Macaca fascicularis: one gene and its partners. The protein of the gene in region 1 interacts with the protein of each later gene in a pairwise test. Links are inferred from orthologs where the notes say so. Each region holds a gene or a part of one and is shown in the gene's direction. Other genes may lie near its edges.

What was found.
Region 2: the proteins of EXOC5 (region 1) and RAB14 interact in binary tests that used the Homo sapiens proteins (3 or more experiments, as listed by UniProt). The two-hybrid records come from large-scale screens. The link is inferred for Macaca fascicularis from reciprocal best matches to the Homo sapiens genes EXOC5 and RAB14.
Region 3: the proteins of EXOC5 (region 1) and TXLNB interact in binary tests that used the Homo sapiens proteins (3 or more experiments, as listed by UniProt). The two-hybrid records come from large-scale screens. The link is inferred for Macaca fascicularis from reciprocal best matches to the Homo sapiens genes EXOC5 and TXLNB.
Region 4: the proteins of EXOC5 (region 1) and RAB4A interact in binary tests that used the Homo sapiens proteins (3 or more experiments, as listed by UniProt). The two-hybrid records come from large-scale screens. The link is inferred for Macaca fascicularis from reciprocal best matches to the Homo sapiens genes EXOC5 and RAB4A.
Region 5: the proteins of EXOC5 (region 1) and EDRF1 interact in binary tests that used the Homo sapiens proteins (3 or more experiments, as listed by UniProt). The two-hybrid records come from large-scale screens. The link is inferred for Macaca fascicularis from reciprocal best matches to the Homo sapiens genes EXOC5 and EDRF1.
Region 6: the proteins of EXOC5 (region 1) and PTK6 interact in binary tests that used the Homo sapiens proteins (3 or more experiments, as listed by UniProt). The two-hybrid records come from large-scale screens. The link is inferred for Macaca fascicularis from reciprocal best matches to the Homo sapiens genes EXOC5 and PTK6.
Region 7: the proteins of EXOC5 (region 1) and TNPO2 interact in binary tests that used the Homo sapiens proteins (3 or more experiments, as listed by UniProt). The two-hybrid records come from large-scale screens. The link is inferred for Macaca fascicularis from reciprocal best matches to the Homo sapiens genes EXOC5 and TNPO2.

The regions. Positions count from the first base shown.
Region 1 is NC_088381.1:125,050,627-125,053,642, reverse strand, and holds part of EXOC5 (exocyst complex component 5), read left to right. Parts: intron 1-655; coding exon 656-764; intron 765-937; coding exon 938-1,153; intron 1,154-1,915; coding exon 1,916-2,104; 3' UTR 2,105-3,016. UniProt on the Homo sapiens protein: Component of the exocyst complex involved in the docking of exocytic vesicles with fusion sites on the plasma membrane.
Region 2 is NC_088389.1:36,808,744-36,812,196, forward strand, and holds the end of RAB14 (ras-related protein Rab-14), read left to right. Parts: intron 1-680; coding exon 681-858; 3' UTR 859-2,953; downstream 2,954-3,453.
Region 3 is NC_088378.1:43,308,908-43,312,407, reverse strand, and holds part of TXLNB (beta-taxilin), read left to right. Parts: intron 1-1,608; coding exon 1,609-1,728; intron 1,729-3,500. UniProt on the Homo sapiens protein: Promotes motor nerve regeneration. May be involved in intracellular vesicle traffic.
Region 4 is NC_088375.1:19,804,956-19,807,620, reverse strand, and holds the end of RAB4A (ras-related protein Rab-4A), read left to right. Parts: intron 1-582; coding exon 583-698; 3' UTR 699-719; intron 720-1,539; 3' UTR 1,540-2,165; downstream 2,166-2,665. UniProt on the Homo sapiens protein: The small GTPases Rab are key regulators of intracellular membrane trafficking, from the formation of transport vesicles to their fusion with membranes.
Region 5 is NC_088383.1:134,692,555-134,696,054, forward strand, and holds part of EDRF1 (erythroid differentiation-related factor 1), read left to right. Parts: intron 1-1,100; coding exon 1,101-1,212; intron 1,213-2,668; exon of another isoform or gene 2,669-2,696; coding exon of another isoform or gene 2,697-2,729; intron 2,730-3,500. UniProt on the Homo sapiens protein: Transcription factor involved in erythroid differentiation. Involved in transcriptional activation of the globin gene.
Region 6 is NC_088384.1:119,662,504-119,666,003, reverse strand, and holds part of PTK6 (protein-tyrosine kinase 6), read left to right. Parts: exon of another isoform or gene 1-322; intron 323-703; coding exon 704-857; intron 858-1,631; coding exon 1,632-1,793; intron 1,794-3,434; coding exon 3,435-3,500. UniProt on the Homo sapiens protein: Non-receptor tyrosine-protein kinase implicated in the regulation of a variety of signaling pathways that control the differentiation and maintenance of normal epithelia, as well as tumor growth.
Region 7 is NC_088393.1:13,102,777-13,106,276, reverse strand, and holds part of TNPO2 (transportin-2), read left to right. Parts: intron 1-1,913; coding exon 1,914-2,020; intron 2,021-2,113; coding exon 2,114-2,247; intron 2,248-2,326; coding exon 2,327-2,408; intron 2,409-2,481; coding exon 2,482-2,604; intron 2,605-2,711; coding exon 2,712-2,830; intron 2,831-3,500. UniProt on the Homo sapiens protein: Probably functions in nuclear protein import as nuclear transport receptor. Serves as receptor for nuclear localization signals (NLS) in cargo substrates.

The DNA.
Region 1 (3,016 bases):
GCTTACTGGTAGCATATAAATTCAGAGTCAGGAATGATGGTGATGCCAGACAGCCATGGATTGTCCACATGGGTGTCTGAGATAGTGACATCTTTGCTTTCTGATGGCTCAGTGAACATAAATGTTTCATGTATAAAACTATTAAAATATTTTATAAAATTACTCTCAGTCTACATGTATAAGATGTATATGAAACATAGATGAATTTTGTGTTTAGAATGGGTCCCATCCCCAAGGTATCTTATTATGTATATACAAATATTCCAAAATCTGAAAAATTTCAAAATCCAAAACACTTCTGGTCCCAAGAATTTTGAGAAAGGGATAGTTAACTTGTATGTGGTTTTTGCCTTTGAAGATCCTTAGTTGTTAAGAAATTAAACTAGTGACAGGCTTCTGAGATCTTTGAATCTTGAAGTATTGCACAAAGAATTTTTGCCCTCTGTTTTGAGCAGAAAGATAATAAAACCAAGAGCTCTTTCATATTAAGATCTAGAGCTGACTTTTTCTAATATCTAAAGTTTACCAATAGTGAAAGAGTTTTATGGTGATAGGATATTAAATAACTGATTTAATTTAGCATAAATAATATAATTAAATATAAACATAGAATAAGTTAGATGAGTTAAAGAATGTTGTGTTCTCAATTCTCTAGGACATTAAATTGTATGATTGGACAGATGAAGCATATTTTGGCTGCAGAACAAAAGAAAACAGATTTTAAGCCAGAAGATGAAAACAATGTTTTGATTCAATATACTAATGTGAGTAAAATGATTCAATTTGTTAATACTTTGCTAACATTTTCATTGGTGTATCCTACTGTGCCCTAGATTTTTTTCTTTTATACTTACAGATTAATGAGAAACTTATGTATTTCCTCTTTAGCTAAGCTGGTATACATTTCTGTGTAATGAGTGTAGAAAAACTTTTATAGGCTTGTGTAAAAGTCTGTGCTTACGTAAGAAAACAAGTGGAGAAGATTAAAAATTCCATGGATGGGAAGAATGTGGATACAGTTTTGATGGAACTTGGAGTACGTTTTCATCGACTTATCTATGAGCATCTTCAACAATATTCCTACAGTTGTATGGGTGGCATGTTGGCAATTTGTGATGTAGCTGAATATAGGAAGTGTGCCAAAGACTTCAAGGTATGTATACACAAAAACATCAATCTTGCAAATAGGCCCAGGAACATAAGTCAGATCATTAAAAATCACTATTTACTTACAATTAGTGAAAGGTTTATAACTTTTGTTGATATTGTATGAGATAGATTAACACATTCTACCTGAAACAGTGTTGTTCCAGTCATTTTCTTTTAATTTTAAATTTTAAATTTTATTTTATTTTCCAGAGACAGGGTTTCACAGTGTTGCCCAGGCTGGTCTCTCCTGGGCCCAAGTGATCCGCTGCCTCAGCCTCCCAAAGTGCTGGGTTTACAGGAATGAGCCACCACACGTGGCCCACATATTTAATATTAAACACATTTTTGCTTCACGGTGTATTTTCAGTTCCACAGTCTTTGACTTATTGACATCCATGACTAATGCTGTATATGTCACACATTAGGAAAATAACGTTGTCTTCATTTATGTCCCTCTGAATTTTTCTGTAACATTTAAATTATGAAAAATGCTATATATTAATAACTAGTTTTAGTCCACTGAAGTATATATGATTGTTACATTGAAGAGAATTGACATATGAATCTTTTTGAAATATTATAGTAAGTTTATTTAACTACGAAATCTTTAAGTTTTAATGCTTTGTGATCTTTAAAAAAATTCTAATATGTTGAACTCCACGCACACTAGTAAGTCCCACCTGACAGTATGTAAGAAGTTAGAAGCTAATTGTAAAACTGGAAACTGTTTTGTTTCAATGTTACTTTCTTTCTTCTCTCAATTCAGATTCCAATGGTATTACATCTTTTTGATACTCTGCATGCTCTTTGCAATCTTCTGGTAGTTGCCCCAGATAATTTAAAGCAAGTCTGCTCAGGAGAACAACTTGCTAATCTGGACAAGAATATACTTCACTCCTTCGTACAACTTCGTGCTGATTATAGATCTGCCCGCCTTGCTCGACACTTCAGCTGAGATTGAATTTACAAAGGAATTCAATGTCAGTTCCTTTACAGAGGAATTTCTTGTACTTCAGCAGGCCTCGGTTGATAGAAAGCACAGGAGATACCTTATGACACAGCCAACATTTTGTGAAACAGTGACTGGAACAAAACAGCAGCCATACTTACCTTTGAGGTTTTATTTAAAGTTTGGATACCACTAACTATATTTTGCTTTTTTCCCCTTATGTTGAATTTTAATTCCATTCTTGAATGTAGAAATTTCAGATTCTTTAAAACTACATGTCACTGTTTTCATCCTAGAAAATGTTGCTGTCAGAAGGCAAAGGAAATGTTACCAGTGTTTTCGGTTCTTGTACCTTTAACATATTCCATTTAGAAATTTTGCCATTCTGTTTTCCATTAATAATGGGCAAAATACAGGAAAACTACATTTATTATTCCTCAGTTTTTAATGACCTTTTCAGCATCAATTGTTAATCAGGTTATTTTAGGTTTTCATAAATAATTTTTTTGCCTCTTTCAAAAGGTTAACAATTAAGTTTACTTTCTGTAGTTGGTTGATTGGATTTTTTTCTGAGGGACAACATTAGTACTAGTCCAAAAAATGTCATAAACTGAACTAAAATGATGAAATATTTTATGTAGACATTAGGAGTGGATCAGAATACTTCTGCTTTCTGGGTAAAACTTAAAAGTTTACTATTTCTTATTTGGTAAATAGATTTTAAGCCAATTCTAGTAAGAAATTGATAAAACTACCTTATTTTATATTTCACTTAAGGTGGAGGACCTTAACTAAAGGACCATATTTATTCATTATTTTAATATTATAAGGGAAGTAAAAAAAGTGAGGTATAGTCTAAATAGTGCATATAAGAAATATTGACAGTGTTTAGCAACAATGCAGCCCTTTAAGATTTTC
Region 2 (3,453 bases), on another chromosome or scaffold:
GCATGTTTGGAGAGATTTCATTTCTGTTTGGAGTATCCTCTCTGTTATCACAGAAATGACATATCTCAGTCGTCATGGTGTGTATTAACATACAGTATTTTAATGATTGCATATAACACATGTAGTTGTCCAAATACGATTTGTAGAAAGGGCTTTCGGTACATGTATGTATGTATGCTTTCCACAGAAAATAGTTTTCCGGCCGGGCATGGTGGCTAACACCTGTAATCCCAGCACTTTGGGAAGCCAAGGCAGGCAGATCATGAGGTCAGGCAATCGAGACCATCCTGGCCAACATGGTGAAACCCTGTCTCTACTAAAAATACAAAAATTAGCAGGGCGTGGTGGTGTGCTCCTGTAGTCCCAGCTACTTGGGAGGCTGAAGCAGGAGAATCACTTCAACCCGGCAGGCAGAGGTTGCAGTGAGCTGAAATCACACCACTGCACTCCAGTCTGGTGACACAGACTCTGTCTCAAAAAAAAAAAAAAAAAGAAAAGGAAAAGAAAATAGTTTTCCATGTTCTCTTAGCTCAGTGTTCTGGTAATCTTTTACTAGATGACAATGGTTAAGTTGAAGACATCATGGCAGTTAACTAAAGATTAACAAAAGGTCAGTATATAATGTCTTGTCTTTTGTAGAAAACTGTGGTTCTCCAATAAAGTTATCAATTGCCTCTTAGGGGAGAGAATGTAGAAGATGCCTTCCTTGAGGCTGCCAAGAAAATATATCAGAACATTCAGGATGGAAGCTTGGATCTGAATGCTGCTGAGTCTGGTGTACAACACAAACCTTCAGCCCCGCAGGGAGGCCGGCTAACCAGTGAACCCCAACCCCAGAGAGAAGGCTGTGGCTGCTAGTGACCTCTTTGCCGTGGCCCCTCATTTGACCTTTCACCTCTGTCTGTTGAAAGCAGTACTTTTTACTGCCTCATTGTCTTCTGTACATCTTACTGGGTTTAATTAAAAAAAAAGAAAAAACAAAAATCTGTTGTAAAAACAGTTTAACACAATACTAAACTGCTAAACAACTAGATGTAATCAGGTTATCAAAGGCAAGTAGAGTAATAAATCTCTCCTGCATGGTAAATCTAGACTTTTTTTCCCCCTTGTCCTCGTGATAAGTATGTCACCAATATATGATTTAAACTGAGCACTGATGCTGGACTTCATGATTTTTTACCCTCCCTCTTTGGCAAGGCTTTGTCTCACTGTACGGTTTAATTTGATGATATCTTAAGCCTTTCTACCCATCCTTAACTGTTCAAGTATGTCTGTTGTAACCAATAAGTTTATTGCTGTGAAATGACTTCTGATGGTAGAGAAGGGGTTCTATAACTGCTTTTGTTTTGTTTTGGATAAATTTCCTGTTGTGTGGGTGGCATTTTTCTTGACGAGGTTTGCTTCTCTCTTAGCCTCGCACAGGGAAAATATCCATTTATCTTATCTCTCGTGCTTAATTAATAGCTTTATCTTTTTTTATACCATTTTATCCTTTTCTCTTTAACAGAAAGTAAATATGTATAAAATTTGAAGGAATCGAACTAACAATACATTCTGTGTATATTATTTTAATGAAGAAAATAAATTGATTACTGGCATTGGAACAGTATAAAATACCAGTTTGTACAGTATGACCTATATGTGACCATGTTACTCCCTTCCATTTCACACAAAGAAATAGACACACTGCAGTTCACAAGTAGTACTGGCTCCACCCCTTGGTGCTGGCAGTGTTTGGGGACATTATGCTGGAAAAAGCTCCTAGCATCAGAGGATTAACACTAGCAGATTCTGTTCCATCTTTGCACTGTTGCTTACCTGCTGATTTTCTTAACTGTTCTTGTGCAATCGACAATGTGCTAACCTGCTTTTCTCTTTTTGTAAACGTTTTTGCATTACAGGCTGCATTCTTGCCTTACTGTATAGGAAAAGAAAAAAGGCTGGGTTTATTATTGCACATTTTAAGCTTTTATACCTTTATCGTCTTGGAATGGTCAGATTCTGAACTGGACAGTCAGAACCACAGGTCTGCTGTTAAGGGATTTTAAATTGTGCATTTTTAACACTACAGTGAAATAAGATATCCCTGTGTTCATAGTATGAGGGGCTGTTTTATGTCATGTTGGCATAAATTGTTTCATAAAAGGGAAAGTGTTTCTAAAGGTGTTTCAGTGCTTGTGCTGATACAAAGTAAGTTATTACTTTGCACTAGGTGGTTTGGCCACTGAATTAATACTGTATAGCAAGAGAAACAATCTTATTTCTTTGTACAACAAACATGTTTAAGTTCTTCATTTCTGTTGATTTTTCTTACTGTGTTTGATTCAGTGGCTGGGAATTGAGAGTTTATTTGAAGTAGAATAGGTAACACCTCAGCGCACTATAGAAAATGCACTCAGCTCAACTGCTGTGTTTAAAATACACATTTTAAATCCCTCTTTACAGACACTAACATAAAAGTACATCTTTTTGGGTTGTAAACATGTGGTAGTACCAGAGTATTGTATAGTCAATGTTAAATAAAAGCCAAAACTGGAATGTGCAGAAAATAGGCTTTGGTTAATTTGTGGATTCATTTTTATTTTTGTCTTTAACTTTTTAAAAAATAGGATTTCTGGAGTAGATTGGTATGTTCTGTTAAAGACTACAGTGATCCATTTTGCTTACACTGTTGCATCACAAGGGATTCACCCAGGGACCATGACCTGCTGGTGTGTGTGTATATTTACAAAAACAAAACAAACAAACCACCCATTGGGATATAAGGTGGCAATCACAAACGAAAGACTGCGGCTTGTTGAGGTGCAATACCCTGACTCCCAAAGTTAGTTACAGTGGGTTTTATTGTTTTTGTGACCGAAGGATTTATTCAGACTGCTGTACTCTTCATTTGATGTAACAAAATGCTATTAATCTAAATATTTGTAAATAAAGTACCTGTATCTAGATTAAAGTTGGTTGCATTATTTTCTGAACTATAATAGGGTTTATTTTCTTCAGGTGAACAAGTTGATGTGTCATCAGTTTTTATTGCAGCACTGTCTGTATTTGTTGTATAAAGAGAGGTCTACATATGTAGCATATAAAACCACATCACTAATAGAGCCACAGTTTTATTCTTGTGTTTGCATCACCCTTGAAATGTTTTCAGTCAACCATTTTCAGTGTAAGATCAGCACATTTGCTGGCTGATGCTGTTCTCCCTTGACTGTACTGGGAGCCAGATTCTATCATACGCATGTGTAATCCCCTGTAATAAACTCGGGTGCTCACAAATAGAGCAGACTGTCATATTGTAACATGTGTGTGCCAGACACTGGGCAGTACACTTTGGAAAGAATGTGAAATCCTTTTAATTTTTAATCCATAGCTTACTGCTTGTGCAGTCACCTGCTTCTCGAGGTTACTCATTGCCCTTGGACCTGTGAGGAGGCCCTCAGATTAGTAATTGGT
Region 3 (3,500 bases), on another chromosome or scaffold:
GGTGGTGGGTGCCTGTAATCCCAGCTACTCAAGAGGCTGAGGCAGGAGAATCGCTTGAACCTGGGAGGCGGAGGTTGCAGGGAGCTGAGATCACGCCACTGCACTTCAGCCCAGGAGACAGTGTGAGATTCCATCTCAAAAAAAAAAAAAAAAAAAAAAAAGAGTCTGTACCCTACTAGGCCAATAATAGTATTAATAATGTCATCATTGTGATAATAATTATGTCATTTATTCAGTGCTTAGTTTGTATCAGGCAATGTGCTAAGTGCTGAACTTTACATACAATATGGCATTTAATTGTCTCAACAATCTTATGCACTAGTTAATAATATATTATAGATGGGAAGCAGAAGCTAAGAGATTAAACCACTTACCCACAGTCACAAGAGCCAAAAGCCTTTTACTTTGAATAGGTTATATTAGGGGGATGATCAACGTCTTTTGTTATCACCAAATTATATTTTAATATTTAATATGTTTTTAAGATTCCAAATACCCTCTCAGGATTTTGATACATCATATTCTGTTCCCTATCCCACCCAAATTTTAAATCTCTGCTTTAAAATGTAACATAACATAGTCAAAGCGGCTCCGTTGGCAACATGCTAAGATTTTATCAAGCACAAAACTGAGCCAACAGCATATGGTCGCAGTGGTTAGGTAAATCAAGAAACTCCTCACAGTAAGCCAAAATGCCATGCTACCATTTTATCTTGTCACGAGGATCAATCCTGCTCCAGAGTGGAGGTTCAGACTAAAGAAGAAAGGAAGGAGTGAAAGCAAAATATCCATACTCTTCAGAGAGATCTCAGATGGGAATGGGCTGCTATACTAGTTGTATATTCCTGGGACTGGTTCTAAGTAAAGCCCAAGGGTAGAATTCCATGTCCTGTTTCTGATGGGACCTCCTAGTGACCAGGAAGTTATCCATACTGAGGTAGAGTTGTAAGTTTCTCTTCACCAAACTAGTCCAGAGGTCAAAAGGTGTGGCGAGCTCTGCATATTTGCAAATCAATTTCTCTATGACCCTTGGCCTTGTCATCCCCACCAGAGCAACAGAGTAGAATTCAGGGGGGCTCAGGCCTCACTCCCAGACCTCAGACCACATGCTGGCACCCCAAGACTTTCTCACAACGCCAGAGGCAAGAATGCGGAGAATTCATCATGATAAATTGCACCAATGTTGTGATTAAAAGTGGTTTTATAGTCACAGAAAGAGCCAAAATACCAAATAATACAACTGCAGCCCCTGTATATTGTATACTGATAGATGATTGTCTGCGCTGTCTAACATAATAAATAGCATCATATCTAATAGTTACCAAATGTAGAAAAATATTGTATGGATCTTTTGGTGTTGACACTGCTGAACTCTGGTGCCTCTACCTTTTGTAGCTACCTTTGTGTGTGTGGTGCAAAGTTGGGGGTGGGCGTGGTTCACCAATTTACAGCTTTAGTATAAAGCTGTAAGTGATGCCAATGCATTTATCCCTCTCTTCTTTTACATCTTAAAACCTGGAGAATGTATATTAATGTGAATTATTTTATTTTGCATTTTTAAGCACCAATAATAAACCAAACTTTCTATGTGTACTTTATTTTTCTTAGCATCTGGACAAAATATTTAAACACAGAGAACTGCAGCAGAAGCTGGTGGATGCAAAGCTTGAGCAGGCCCAAGAAATGATGAAGGAAGCAGAGGAGCGACACAAACGAGAAAAGGAATATGTACTTATCATTTTAGTCATTCTGCATATCTGCTCCAACTCAGTGTCAGAGACACTCTGAGCAAGTTGTTTTGTATTTATTTATTTATTTGAGACAGAGTCTCTGTCGTTCAGGCTAGAATGCAGTGGTGCGATCTCCACTGCAACCTCTGCCTCCCAGGTTCCGGCAATTCTCCTGCCTTAGCCTCCCAAGTAGCTGGGATTACAGGCGCCCACTACCATGCCCGGCTACTTTTTCTGTATTTTTAGTAGAGACATGGTTTCACCCTGTTGGCCAGGCTGGTCTCGAACTCCTGACCTCAGGTGATCCACCCCCATCGGCTTCCCAAAGTGCTGGGATTACAGGCGTGAGCCACCGCGCCCGGCTGCAAGTTGTTTTTATAATGGTCAAAGAGCACTAGACTGATGGAGAAAGAGCCCCAACTTCTATGGAGAACTAAATTAGCCAGCCCAGTCTGAGGCACTGTATCTACACTACTTTCTACATAAAATCGTCATGCATCCATTCCACACATATTTTTCAAGTGCCTGTTATCTGCTAAGGACTGTGTTAGGTGCTGGGACATAGCCGTGAACAAGACAGAGAAGGGCCATCTCCCACTATGGAGATCAGAGTCTAACTGGAAAAAGAAAGGCAATAGACGAGCAAACAAGGAAGGGTCATTACAGACAATAATCACTGCTACTAAGGAAATAAAGAGAAACTGAGAAGGGGCCAAAGAAGGGGATGTACTTTAGATTGAGTGACCAGGAAGGCCTCCTGGAGGGAAGAATGCTTGATTGAGCTAAGCCCTGCCCGATGAGGAGCTGCCACTTGGAGCATCGTCTCCAGCATCTGCAGCAGCAACAAACACCCTAATGCTGGAGCCAGTTTGGTGTGCTCCAGAAACAGGAAAAGGTCAGGGAAGCAAGAGCATGGGGGAAAAGTTCAAAATGAAGCTGGAGAGGTAAGCAGGGGCCAAACTGGGTAGCTTTGTAGGGCGTAAAAAGTCATTTGGATTTCATTCTAAATACAATGGGAAAGTACTGGGTACTTCTGCAAAGGAAGTGATGGCATGATCTACTCTGCATCTGCTAAGATTAATTTGGCTCCTGGATGGAAAATAGACTGCAGAGGGACAAAAGAGCAAGAAGACAATTAGGGGACTACTATAGCAATCAGATGAAATGTGACAATGACCTGGTTTAGGGATATGGCAGCAGAGAAGAGGGTTGGAGATGGATGAAAGTTGTTTTCAATGTGAAATCAACAGGCAGTGCTGCAGACCTGAAGCTGGTGACAAAGAGAAAAGGAGAGAGTCAAGGATGACTCCTAAGTTTTGACCTGAGGAAACTGAGTGGCAGTGTTTATTGATATCTCATTAACTCCAAGCACCCCCTAAAAAGCTGTAAGGCCATTCTACGGATGAGAGAATTGAGGCTCCAAGAAGATACGCAACTTGTAAAGGTCACACGCTGCTGACTGAGCAAGATGTGTTTTGATCTTCTGTGCGTCTGTTCCCAAAGCCCACACTCTCTGTGACGATGCATCACACTCAGATGTGTGTTTCAGAGGTATGAGTTGAGGCATGTATCTGTTGCTGGGGTGAGAGAGAGGTAAAACATAGTCCATGGACCAATTATTCAAATTTGGCCATTTCACATTTTGATCTTGAGCTTTTCATTTACCCAAAATCAGACCAGAATCAATTCAATTGGTTAGAATAGTAATTTTAAAATAACTTTTCAAACATGGCAACAAAAAGACAAATTTTGAGCAATATAATCTGGTGG
Region 4 (2,665 bases), on another chromosome or scaffold:
AATACTTTTATATATATATATATATATATTTTTTTTTCATGTGCATGAGTCTGTGTGTCAGACAGATACGCAGAAGTGGAATTGCTGGGTCAGAGAACATAAGCATTTGGGATCTTGGTGTAGAGGTGGTCACATTTTCTCCTAGTGATGGGCTTATTTCACTAAAGCCACGTCCACAGTGTGTAGTATCATCATACTTGGACTTTTGGCCCATCCGATAAGTGAAAAATTGTATCTTTGTAATTTAATTTTAAATTATTTTATATAAATAATATATTCACATAATTTGAAATTCAAGAAGTATAAAAGAGTATGCAGTGGAAAGTCCTGCTGTTACCACCCCCTCCTGTCCCCGGCCATCTAGAACTCCTCCGAATCAGCCGTTCCTTATGTATCGTGCTAGAGACGTTTTGTGCCAGTGCAAGCAAACATGTAAATTGTTTTTTCCTCTTTATTCAGAGTGGTGGGATATATACACAGGGTTCCGTACTTTGCTTTTTTTTTTTTTTTTTTTTTTTAATCTATTTTTGGGATCTCAGAAACATAAAACTTTTTTTTAAAGAAGACTTGCTTGGTCCTTAGGTGAGCTGGACCCAGAAAGAATGGGCTCGGGTATTCAGTACGGAGATGCTGCCTTGAGACAGCTGAGGTCACCGCGGCGCGCACAGGCCCCGAATGCTCAGGAGTGTGGTTGTTAGGAGCCATGGGAGAGCGCACAGGTGGGTTCGGACACCTCACTGCCCTGAGTTCCTGACAAGCTGAAGTGCAGAGGCCTGTGAAAGCTTTGGGAAGCTGCAGTATGAAAAAGAGAGGATCCCAGCCAGGTCCAGTGGCTCTAATTCCAGCACTGTGGGAGGCTGAGGTGGGCCAGTCGCTTTAGTTCAGGAGTTTGAGACCAGCCTAGGCATCATGGTGAAACACCATCTCTACAAAATACAAAAAATTAGCCAGGCATAGTGGCATGCACCTGTAGTCCCAGCTACTCATGAAACTTAGGAGAATTGCTTGAGCCTGGGAGGCAGAGGTTGCAGTAAGCCAAGATCGCACCACTGCACTCCAGCCTGGGTGATAAAGTGAGACAGTCTCAGGAAAAAAAAAAAAAAAGAGAAGGAGACTATCCCATAAGTTAAAGTTGGATGTTCTAACTGAAAGAATTTACACCCTATAGGAAATTCTCATGTTCTTGTTCAGAAAGAAAGGAAGGGCAGGTGGTGGTTGACGGGAGAGGGTGAGATATCCTGATTCCTTATGTCAGTGAGGAGCCTTTCCTGGATTGATTGAGGTCTAAAGGAATGTGCCTTTTGCTAAAACAGGAGACCCATTTATGAAATTGACAAATGTCTCCCTTGAACTTTTTAAAGCTTCTTCTTTTTTCCCATTTACCACAGTGGACATTTTATTTATAGTCGACATCATGTAGTAGACACAGACAAGTATTGAAAGACGAGATATTCACAAATTCTCTTTTAGGCTTTAAGCTGTATTTACTTTTGCATTTATAATTGTGCAGATTTTGACATTGTTCTTATTATTTTTTAGGTGTTCATACAGTGGCATTTGGGACACAATCGTTGGAACCTGAAGAACCTGAAGTTTTTTTACCACCATCCTTTTCTACTCTATATGGAAGTAGATCTTTATGGGGAAAAGAGAATTTGGGGTGTTCTGCAAGCTGGTCAAAGTGGCACAGCAAATCATATAAATCGAATTAAATGGACAACACCGTTAGATGTGTATGTAAAAATTTTCTGTTTCATATTTTCCCTTTCACTTTCGGTTTAAAACATGCTATAAACATGCTATAAACATGCTATGTACTGTATGTCCTGTAGCCCAGTGCGGCTCCGCAGCATGGAATCTGATGTATGATATGATAGAATGTGGCACTAAATGCAGTTTCAGATTTTATTTTTTTTAATCATATGAACTAAAATTGTCAGTTGTGAGGTGTGCTCTTCTCATCATGTTGGTTATATTGCACAATTGGTTATATTTATGACCTGATATTCAAAGACTCTGGCATTGATAGCCAGTGTGTTTCTTATTTAATTCTGTTTACTACATTCTACATGGTGTTTACGTGATCCACACTTGAAATACTAGATCAGTAGACATTCACTAACATACCAAAAACAATAAAATGAAAAATGGAGTTTTTCCGTGAACTTTATACTGTCCAGCTCTGTTGATTTTAAAGCCTCTTCATCCAGGTCAGTTCAGGAAGTATATCTGGAGTACCTGCTCTGTTTTAGGCTATGAGACTAGCACTAAGGATTCTGGTACCTTTACGCAAACCTACCGGGCTACTAACACTTCTCTCAGCGGTGGATAAAATACAATAGACCATGCAAGCTGGGGCCGCTCATCCATTTCCAGTTTGCTGGTCTGTCTGGTCTCCCTGCTAGAAAACACATTGTTTGTACTGTGCTTTTTCTGGAATTCAGTAGAATGGCATCACTGCCTGTTTTTCATATCTTTTGTTTCCTGTTCATTTTAAGGAAACCTGCTAAATCCAGTTAATATGAAAAGGACACCACTCATTAAGAAATTTCTTTATGGCTTCTGCTGAATACTTAAATGCCTTACTACAGTTATCAAGTTGACATGTTTTTAATTCATTTAAGGTATATTGGGTATATTGAAGTATATATTGTATTACAAAGAC
Region 5 (3,500 bases), on another chromosome or scaffold:
GGTATTTAAATTCTTCCTTTAAAATCTGTTCCATCAGGCTGAGGTTGCAGTGAGCCAAGATCATGCTACTGCACTCCAGCCTAGGCGAAAGAGCAAGACTCTTGTCTCAGAAAAAGAAAGAATCAGTGTTCCATCTGTTTGGGCATCTTCCTCTTTCTCTAGGTTTTTTCACCTCCCTCCTTCCCTTGCCAGTTGAAATGGCCGCATTAAGGAAGGAGCTACTATCAACAAATGCTGAAAGGCAGGCCTATAGTCGAGTCTTCATTCTAGACCTCATTGAATAGAGCCAGAGGTTTGTTGGACTGAACTAGTCTTAGGTCTGAACCTACGACTTGTGAGAATATTCAAGACAGTTTATTTAATTAGTTAGAGAGTTTCCTACTAACTACTTGTGAGCATTTTGCTTAATGCTCCACATGTATTTGTTGACATTAGCCAGTGTGAATTCTAACTTAAGCATGGTCTTGTATGGTATTCAGTCTTTCTCAAGTTGTGTGAGGAGCAGGCAGTAGGCTGACAGTCCTTTCCTATCATATTGTCTTCTATTCTTACTGAAAACTTACCAGTGTCAGTTAGAAATACAAGCAAGCGGCCAGGCGCGGTGGCTCAAGCCTGTAATCCCAGCACTTTGGGAGGCCGAGATGGGCGGATCGCAAGGTCAGGAGATCGAGACCATCCTGGCTAACCTGGTGAAACCCCGTCTCTACTAAAAAAAAATACAAAACACTAGCCGGGCGAGGTGGCGGGCGCCTGTAGTCCCAGCTATTCGGGAGGCTGAGGCAGGAGAATGGCGTGAACCCAGGAGGCGGACCTTGCAGTGAGCTGAGATCCGGCCACTGCACTCCAGCCTGGGCGACAGAGCAAGACTCCATCTCAAAAAAAAAAAAAAAAAAAGAAATACAAGCAAGCTTTTGGAAAGTTGTTAAGTATAGCACAACCACTGAGCTGCATGTGCATATCTTGTCAGAAAAGAAAGCATAGATGGCGTTTTCTATCAAGAGAGGACAGCTTAAAATACTTAAATGATAAAATAACTTTCAGATGATTCATTAAGGAACATCTTAATTAAACCAAATAACGCTAGAACTGTATATTTTTAGGGATAACAACAAACCAATTAATGTGCTAACTGGAATTGACTATTGGTTGGACAACTTGATATGCAATGTACCAGAGCTTGTGATGTGTTTTCATGTAAACGGAATTGTACAGGTAAGATACAGTGTGATTTTTGTAACCTCTCAAACGCAAATTGGTACAGAGAGTTCCTCACCAAAGTCTTTATGGCCTTAAAGTACTAAGGTACATTTTTGGCAGGGAAGATAGCTGTGAATAAACTGAATTTGAGTGTACATTTAAGTTGGTGATAACAGAATTCTAGATGTTCTAGAAGTGTAATTTTACAGGTAATTTGGAGGAAGTTCATAAATGTATGAAAACCTGCATTTGTAGCCATAGAAGTCTAATTTTAATGCCAAGCACTCATTAATAATTAACTGAAAGTGTCTATACAATGGAGGCGTTTCTTCATTATGCAAATATCTACTCAGTACACGCAAAGTTTTAGGGAAGGATCTTGTAAAAATTGTGTATGGTAGATAGCTTATATAGCAAATTCTTATTCAGCATATTCTATTTAGAAGACATGTATCCCCATTATAAGTGTTGGGGGAAGCCAGGCATGTTGGCTCATGCATGTAATCCCAGGCTACTCAGGAGACTGAGGCAGGAGGATCACTTGAAGCTGAGAGTTTAAGACCAACCTGGGCAATGTAGTGAGACCCTAACTGTAGAAAAAAAACCCACACACTTAGCTGGGCATGGTGGTGCATGTCTGTAGTCCCAGCTACTTGGGGGCTTGAAGCAGGAGGATCACTGGAGCCCAGGAATTTGAGGCTGCAATGAGTTATGATCGTGCCACTGCACTCCAGTATGAGTGACAGAGCAAGACCCTGTCTCAAAAAAATAAAAAATTTAGAATTTAAACAATAAATAATGGTTGAAGGAAAACAAAGAATAAGTTTGGTTGTTACTCAGAAAGAGATAATCCAATGGGAAATAATATGCAGAGAAAACAGTCGGAGACAGATAAGAACGAGAAGTGTAATACACACACACAAGTCTAGATCATCAGAGGAGGGGCTGAGCACTGACACTGGAAGAAAGACTTGGTGGAAGAAGGGCCATCTTCACTGAGTCCTGATAATAGGTAGTATCCCAAAAAATAAAAGCTGGATTTCAAAAGTCTAGTGTAAATACATGAAAGGATTGATAATAAATCCAGCTGGGGAACACAGGATTTAGGTAGCACAATAGCTGCAAATAAGGTTGGAAAAGTCATGATCAAGTGATGGAGATCTTAAATGTTGAGCTAAGGAGTATGGACTTGGTTCAGTTGGTAATCTGGAATCAGTGAAGGCATCTAGGAGGGGAAATTTGTTGTGTTAGAATATTAATTTAGAGATAGCATATAGGATAGACAAGGAGGACTTAGAGACAAGAAAACCGGAGGCATTGTACCATTTTGCTAATAGTATAATGTACTTCCACTAGAGAGGAACTGTTAAGAATCAACAATGGTAAGAATAGATAGCATTTATTGAGTGCTTATTTGATCCCAGCACTTTGCTGAATGCTTTAAATGCTTTACCTTATTTGATCTTCTTAGCTACCTCACATGCTGTTATTCCTATTTGATGGAAAGAGAGACTGAGGATCAAGGAGCTCAAGTGAGTTGCCCAGGGTCACCTTAGTAGTGAGTGGCGGTGCCAGTCTTTGTGCCTCTCTCTGGCTGAGGACATGCTTTGAACCATTATATTCCAACCCAGTGATTCTTAACCTGGTTGTGCATCAGAATCACTTGTAGCCTCTTTAAAAATGTTCTTGCTTGGGCCCCCAGTGTTCTAGTATCAGTAGGATGTGCACCTCTTGTCTTTTCAGAAAGTCTGGTATATGATTCTGGTTTGCAGTTTTCATTGAAAACCACTGTTAGACCATCTCCCTAAATGGCAACATTTAGTGGGAGGCTGAGGTGGGAGTGGGGAGCAGGAGAAAAGAGACAGGCAGATAAAGCGTTAACAAGGCGGAGGGGAAGAGGAGTCAAAGGGGAATCCAGGGTTTAGGGGCTAGAATAATGGTGGTGTCATTTAGTGAGAGAAGGATGTTGAATTGGTTTAGACAGGGAAGGTAGTATGTTTTTGTCACATGTTCAGTTTGAGGAAAGTATAAAAATGTCTAGTGAGCATTTTGAAGTTGCAGCCATTAGAGAAATAAATTGAAGCATCATCTACCTAGATACTGTCAGATTTCGTCACCTGAGAATCTATTAAAATCAGGCATTGGAGCCTCTCCCCATAGGGGTAAAAATAGAAGGGCATTTAGAGAGAGAGAAGGAGAACAAGAATAGCGCAGATTAAAATATGGGAAAGGAGTGTTTTGAGGAAGGAAATAATCAACATTGGGGACTTCAGTGAACAAAGTGGGGTGAAAATCAACCTCAG
Region 6 (3,500 bases), on another chromosome or scaffold:
CACTCTGCAGGGTCCTGGCTTCAGTCTCTCCGGGTGTTTTGTGCTGGGCTTGGGGCAGCCACCGGGAGAGTCCAGCCTCGTGTCAGACACTCAGAAACCCCCAACCCAAGCTGAACGTGGCTCTAAATCTGAGGCTAAATCCAGGCTCCCTGCGCTGGCTTCAGACTGGCAGTTCCTGAAGGATGAGCCCCTGCCCTGTGTCCCCGACTCTCCCTCCAGCATGAGCCTGAGCCCCTGCCCTGTGTCCCCGACTCTCCCTCCAGCATGAGCCTGAGCCCCTGCCCTGTGTCCCCGACTCTCCCTCCAGCATGAGCCTGAGCCTCTGCCCTGTGTCCCCGACTCTCCCTCCGGCGTGAGCCTGAACCTCTGCCCTGTGTCCCCGACTCTCCCTCCAGCATGAGCCTGAGCCCCTGCCCTGTGTCCCCGACTCTCCCTCCAGCGTGAGCCTGAGCCCCTGCCCTGTGTCCCCGACTCTCCCTCCAGCATGAGCCTGAGCCTCTGCCCTGTGTCCCCGACTCTCCCTCCAGCGTGAGCCTGAGCCCCTGCCCTGTGTCCCCGACTCTCCCTCCAGCGTGAGCCTGAGCCCCTGCCCTGTGTCCCCGACTCTCCCTCCAGCGTGAGCCTGAGCCCCTGCCCTGTGTCCCCGACTCTCCCTCCAGCATGAGCCTGAGCCTCTGCCCTGTGTCCCCGACTCTCCCTCCAGCGTGAGCCTGAGCCTCTGCCCCACTGGGATGACTGGGAGAGGCCGAGGGAGGAGTTCACGCTCTGCAGGAAGCTGGGGTCTGGCTACTTTGGGGAGGTCTTCGAGGGGCTCTGGAAAGACCGGGTCCAGGTGGCCATTAAGGTGATTTCTCGAGGTGAGTGAGCCCCGGTCAGGGCTCTGTGTGGCCCCGTGCCCGCCCTGGGCCACCCTCCCGCCCCGCCAACAGGGACCTCTGGCCTCGAGCCCCACGCAGCACCCACAGCACCCATGCAGGAGTGGTTCCCTTTCAACTGCACCTGTTTTTACCTAAATACATTTATTGTAAAAGAAAATTTCAGGCCTGGCACAGTGGCTCACACCTGTAATCCCAGCACTTTGGGAGGCCGAGGTGGGCAAATCATGAGGTCAGGAGTTTGAGACCAGCCTGGCCAACATGGGGAAACCCTGTCTCTATTAAAAATACAAAAAAACTAGCCGGGCGAGGTGGCGGGCGCCTGTAATCCCAGCTACTCGGGAGGCTGAGGCAGGAGAATGGCGTGAACCCGGGAGGCGGAGCTTGCAGTGAGCCGAGATGGCGCCCACTCACTCCAGCCTGGGTGACAGAGCGAGACACCCTCTCAAAAAGAAAAGCTTCCCTGGAAATTGCCTGGGCCCCAGCAGAGGTCTGGCCTCCACGTCAGAGGTCTGGGCCGGGCGCAGGAAGACATTGGGGGGCCACCACGGCCCCATGGGTACGCCAGGCTGGTGGCTTGTGGGGCCGGCTGTGTCCGCCATTTTGTGGCCTCAGGAGCCAGGTGCCCTGTCGGGGGCAGGAGGTCCGGTGTTCTGCACAGCTGCTGAGTGTGTGGGCAGAGCCTTGCCTTGGCCTCTTCCTTGGGGCCAGGGGAGGGTCAGGGGCTGCACCTGCCAAGGCCACCCATCCCCGCAGACAACCTCCTGCACCAGCAGACGCTGCAGTCGGAGATCCAGGCCATGAAGAAGCTGCGGCACAAACACATCCTGGCACTGTACGCCGTGGTGTCCGTGGGGGACCCTGTGTACATCATCACGGAGCTCATGGGCAAGGGCAGCCTGCTGGAGCTGCTTCGTGGTGAGTGGCACGGGCCGGGGCTCTCGCTGGAGGTAAAGGGGGTGCACGAGGAAATAAAGTGCACACACACCCCCACGTCTGCACGCACACACACACACACACACACACAGACACACACACGCAGACACATAGACAAACGCGCACACACACAGAGACACATGCACACACACAGACACACATGCACACAGACACAGACACACGCACACACACAGACACACATGCACACAGACACAGACACACGCACACACACAGACACACATGCATAGACACACATGCACACACATGCACACACAGACACACAAACGACACACAGATCACACGGACACACACAGACACACAGACACAGATCACACGGACACACCAGGCACACACAGACACACACACATACACACAGACACACATGCAGACAGACACACATGCACACACATGCACACACAGACACACAAACAAGACACACAGATCACACGGACACACACACACAGACACACAGACACAGATCACATGGACACACCAGGCACACACACACACACACACACACACACACACAGACACACACACACAGACACACCAGGCACACACACACACGGACACACACACACGGACACACACGGACACACACACACGGACACACACACACAGACACACACAGACACACACACACACACACACAGATCACATTGGCTCAAAGACTTCATCGTCTCTAAGTTCCATTATTTCCTTTATCACCAAAATCAAAGACAATCGCTGCAGGGAATTGAGATGCCCGTGCGTGAAGACGCAGTTTGGATTCCAATGTTAGAATGGGAGGGAACGTTGTGGTGGAGGAAAAATGCCGTGTGTGTCTGAGGAGAGCTACATTGAGGTGCCACTCACGTTTGAGCTCTGAGTGAAAGGCTCCGTGATCATCTCAGACAGTCCCCACGCCCTTCAGGGTCCTCCGGGACGGAACGGGGGGTTAACAGGCACCACCAGGCCGCATGCTGCTGTCACTCAGCCATTATCCTGCTCAAGTTCCCGCCGCCTACATCACGCAGTCATGAGCTTCTTCGCTGGTCCTTCCGCGTCGAGCTTCTCCCGCGTCATAGCAAACTTCCAGAAAGGAAATCGCTGGGCTAGGCCACTAGGAACCACTCCTTGGTTCTTTTTTTTTTTTTTTTTCTGAGACTCACTCTGTCATCCAGGCTGGAATGCAGTGGCGCGGTCTCGGCTCACTGCAAGCTCCGCCTCCCAGGTTCACACCATTCTCCCGCCTCAGCCTCCCGAGTAGATGGGACTACAGGCGCCACCACCACGCCCGGCTCATTTTTTGTATTTTTAGTACAGATGGAGTTTCACCGTGTTCACCAGGATGGTCTCAACCTCCTGACCTCATGATCCACCCGCCTCAGCCTCCCAAAGTGCTGGGATTACAGGCGTGAGCCTCCACACCTGGCTTGCTCCTTGGTTCTTGACACACAGTTGCCTTCCACAAGGGCGGTGGCTGACCTGCAGTTCCAATTTTCAACCAGGCCAGCTGCCCTTTGCCCCGGCCCCTCCTCTGAGGCCGCAGAGCCTGGAGGCAGATGAGACACAGCCCAGCCTCCCCACCCCGTCCCTACCGCAGCTGGCTCAGCTGACCCCAGGCTCCCCTCCCCTCTGCAGATTCTGACAAGAAAGTCCTGCCCGTTTCGGAGCTGCTGGACATCGCCTGGCAGGTGGCTGAGGGCA
Region 7 (3,500 bases), on another chromosome or scaffold:
TGACCTCGTGATCCGCCCGTCTCGGCCTCCCAAAGTGCTGGGATTACAGGCGTGAGCCACCGCGCGTGTCCGAGGCTGGTTTTCTTTATCTCTTCTGAGGGCTGGAAGCGCTGAGGTGCAGAGAGTGAGGAGATGTGGCTAAGGTTCCACGGTCCTCACTATACCTACCCACTGCAGGGAGCACCTTTCTGTCATGGACAGTTTCCACCCTTGGGAAACAGTGCCATCTTGTGGCAGTAAATAACCATCTCTGCACTTAACAGAACCCATATCCAGCTCTGTCACCAGATACGTGCACTGTCCTGGCACCTCAGATGCCTGCTGTATGTGACTCCTGGATGTCTAATAGGCAGTACAAGCATCCCTGCCACCTTCCTGCCTTACCTCCTTTCCCTCTCTCCCCTCCCACTCTCTGCCCAGCCCCAGTGGCTCCTTACCTATCTGTTAGCACATCATGCCTGTCCTTACGCCAGGCCTTCGCACCATAGAGTCCTCTGCCTGAGATGCCCTTTTCCCAGAGACCTGGATGATTCCTCCCTTGCCTGCTTCACCTCCTTCAGGTCTTGCCTCGATATCAAGATGTCACCTCAATGAGGCCTGCTCTGGCCACCCAATTTAAAGTTGCTAGCTTCACCTACAGCCCTTTCTCACCATCTTTTCTGCTATATTTCTCCCCTTTAGTCCTTGGCATGTGGCCCCTCCCAGTTGTTTGTTTTTGTTTTTGGTTTTTGAAATGGAGTCTTGCTCCGTCCCGGGCTGGAGTGCCGTGGCGCGATCTCCGCTCACTGCAACCTCCGCCTCCCAAGTTCAAGCAGTTCTCCTGCCTCAGCCTCCCGAGTAGCTGGGATTACTGGTGCCCCCCACCACAGCCAGCTAATTTTTGTATTTTTAGTAGAGACGGGGTTTTGCCATGTTGGCCAGGCTGGTGTCGAACTCCTGACCTCAAGTGATCCACCCACCTAGATCCCCTAAAATGCTGGGATTACAGGCATGAGCCAGCTATGCACGGCCCGTCCCAGTTTTTTTGCTAATTTATCTTTACTTCGTAGCTTACTTCCAGCTCCCAAGGGTGACGATTTTGTGTTTTGCTCTGTGCTGTGCTTTAGGGCCTGGAACAGAGTTGACTCACAGTAAGGTTCAGGGTGCTTACTGAGTCAAGGAGTACCCTTCTACCTATGTCAAGGCCAGGAGCGGTGGCTCACGCCTGTAATCTCAGTGCTTTTGGAGGCCGAGGCAGGAGGATTGCTTGAGGCCACGAGTTTCAGGCCAGCCTGGGCAACATAGTGAGATCCCATCTCTACAAAAAATGTTAAAAATTAGTTGGGCATGGTGGCATGTGCCTGCAGTCCCAGCGACTCAGGAGGCTGAGGCGGGAAGATGGCTTGAGGCCAGGAGTTCGAGGCTGCTGGGAACTATGATTGTGCCACAGCAGTCCAGCCTGGGCAGCAGAGCAAACTCTATCTCTTAAAAAAAAAAAAAAAAAAACAGGCCGGGCGCGGTGGCTCAAGCCTGTAATTCCAGCACTTTGGGAGGCCGAGACGGGCGGATCACGAGGTCAGGAGATCGAGACCATCCTGGCTAACATGGTGAAACCCCGTCTCTACTAAAAAATACAAAAAACTAGCTGGGCGAGGTGGCGGGCGCCTGTAGTCCCAGCTACTCGGGAGGCTGAGGCAGGAGAATGGCATGAACCCAGGAGGCGGAGCTTGCAGTGAGCTGAGATCCGGCCGCTGCACTCCAACCTGGGCGACAGAGTGAGACTCCGTCTCAAAAAAAAAAAAAAAAGGGGGGGGATGTGGAGGGCATACATGGGCTAGGGGACAGAAAGGCAGCACTGGGGGTGCCCAGTGGGAGGGGAGGTGCTGGGCAGCCCCCGCCCGGCCTCAGGCAGCGTCCTTTCCTGGCCGCCCCAGGCATTCTCATCACCACCATCGCTTCCAAGGGTGAGCTGCAGATGTGGCCCGAGCTGCTGCCCCAGCTCTGCAACCTGCTCAACTCGGAGGATTACAACACTTGTGAGGTAGGCGAGAAGCCATAGATGGCCGGAGCGGGTATGGGGGGCTGGGACCACCACCCACCACCCACCTTTGTCTCTCTGCCCCTCTGCACTCAGGGAGCCTTTGGAGCCCTGCAGAAGATCTGCGAAGACTCATCAGAGCTTCTGGACAGTGACGCGCTCAACAGGCCCCTCAACATCATGATCCCCAAGTTCCTGCAGTTCTTCAAGCACTGCAGTCCCAAGATCCGGTGGGTGCAGCTCTCTGGGGGCTTCAGGGAGCCTGGAGTGGGCAGGTTCAGGGTGACCCGTGTGTCTGCTCCCCGCCAGGTCCCACGCCATCGCCTGCGTGAACCAGTTCATCATGGACCGGGCTCAGGCGCTGATGGACAATATTGACACCTTCATTGAGGTGGGACGCTGGGCTGGGGGTGGACAGGGTGAGGACCAAGGGCCCCTACAGCTGACCCTTTTCCTCCCTGCAGCACCTATTTGCCCTGGCCGTGGATGATGACCCCGAGGTGCGGAAGAATGTGTGCCGCGCCCTGGTGATGCTTCTGGAAGTGCGGATCGACAGGCTCATCCCCCACATGCACAGCATCATCCAGGTGTGCATGGTCGAGGCCAGCCCAGGAAGGCAGGCAAGGGGCCGGTGGCAAGGGTCAGGGAGCCACCCCTACCCAGGCCAGGCCTCAGCTTCTCCCCGCTATCACAGTACATGCTGCAGAGGACCCAGGACCATGACGAGAACGTTGCCCTTGAGGCCTGTGAGTTCTGGCTGACGCTGGCCGAGCAGCCCATCTGCAAGGAAGTCCTGGCCTCCCATCTGGTCCAGTGAGTACTGCTGCTGTCTACTGTCCCACCCCAGCTTCGACCCCTTTCTATGCCTCTGCCTTCCCTTCTGGTCACCTGCTATGCTTCTCTCAGTCCACATCCTTGTCAGTTTATATTCAGTGTATATTTATGTGTAAGTGGCAAGAATGCCACTTTTTAAAGACTTCAAAATTAGGTAACTGTTAGGTGGAAAGAAACGAAAAATCAATGGCCGTGCACGGTGGCCGACGCATGTAATCCCAGCATTTTGGGAGGCTGAGGCATGGCGGTCACGAGGTCGGGAGATCGAGACCAGCCTGGCTAACATGGTGAAACCCCATTTCTACTAAAAATACGAAAAATTAGCTGGGTGTGGTGGCCCACGCCTGTAGTCCCAGCCACTCAGGAGGGTGAGGCAGGAGAATCGCTTGAACCCGGGAGGCTGAGGTTGCAGTGAGCCAAGGTCACACCACTGCACTCCAGCCTGGGCGATAGAGCAAGACTCCGTCTCAAAAAAAAAAAAAAAAAAATCAACAAAGGCTTCAGGTGTGGCTGTATCCAGGAGCTCAAAGGATATGAAAGGCATCTATGTGGTCTCAGATCTGCTTCCCTTGTGTTGTCTTCATTCTTAGGCACATAGGTACAACCTTTCCTCTGGGTAGTGCTGTAGCCTTCTGTGCCCTTGCAGCTT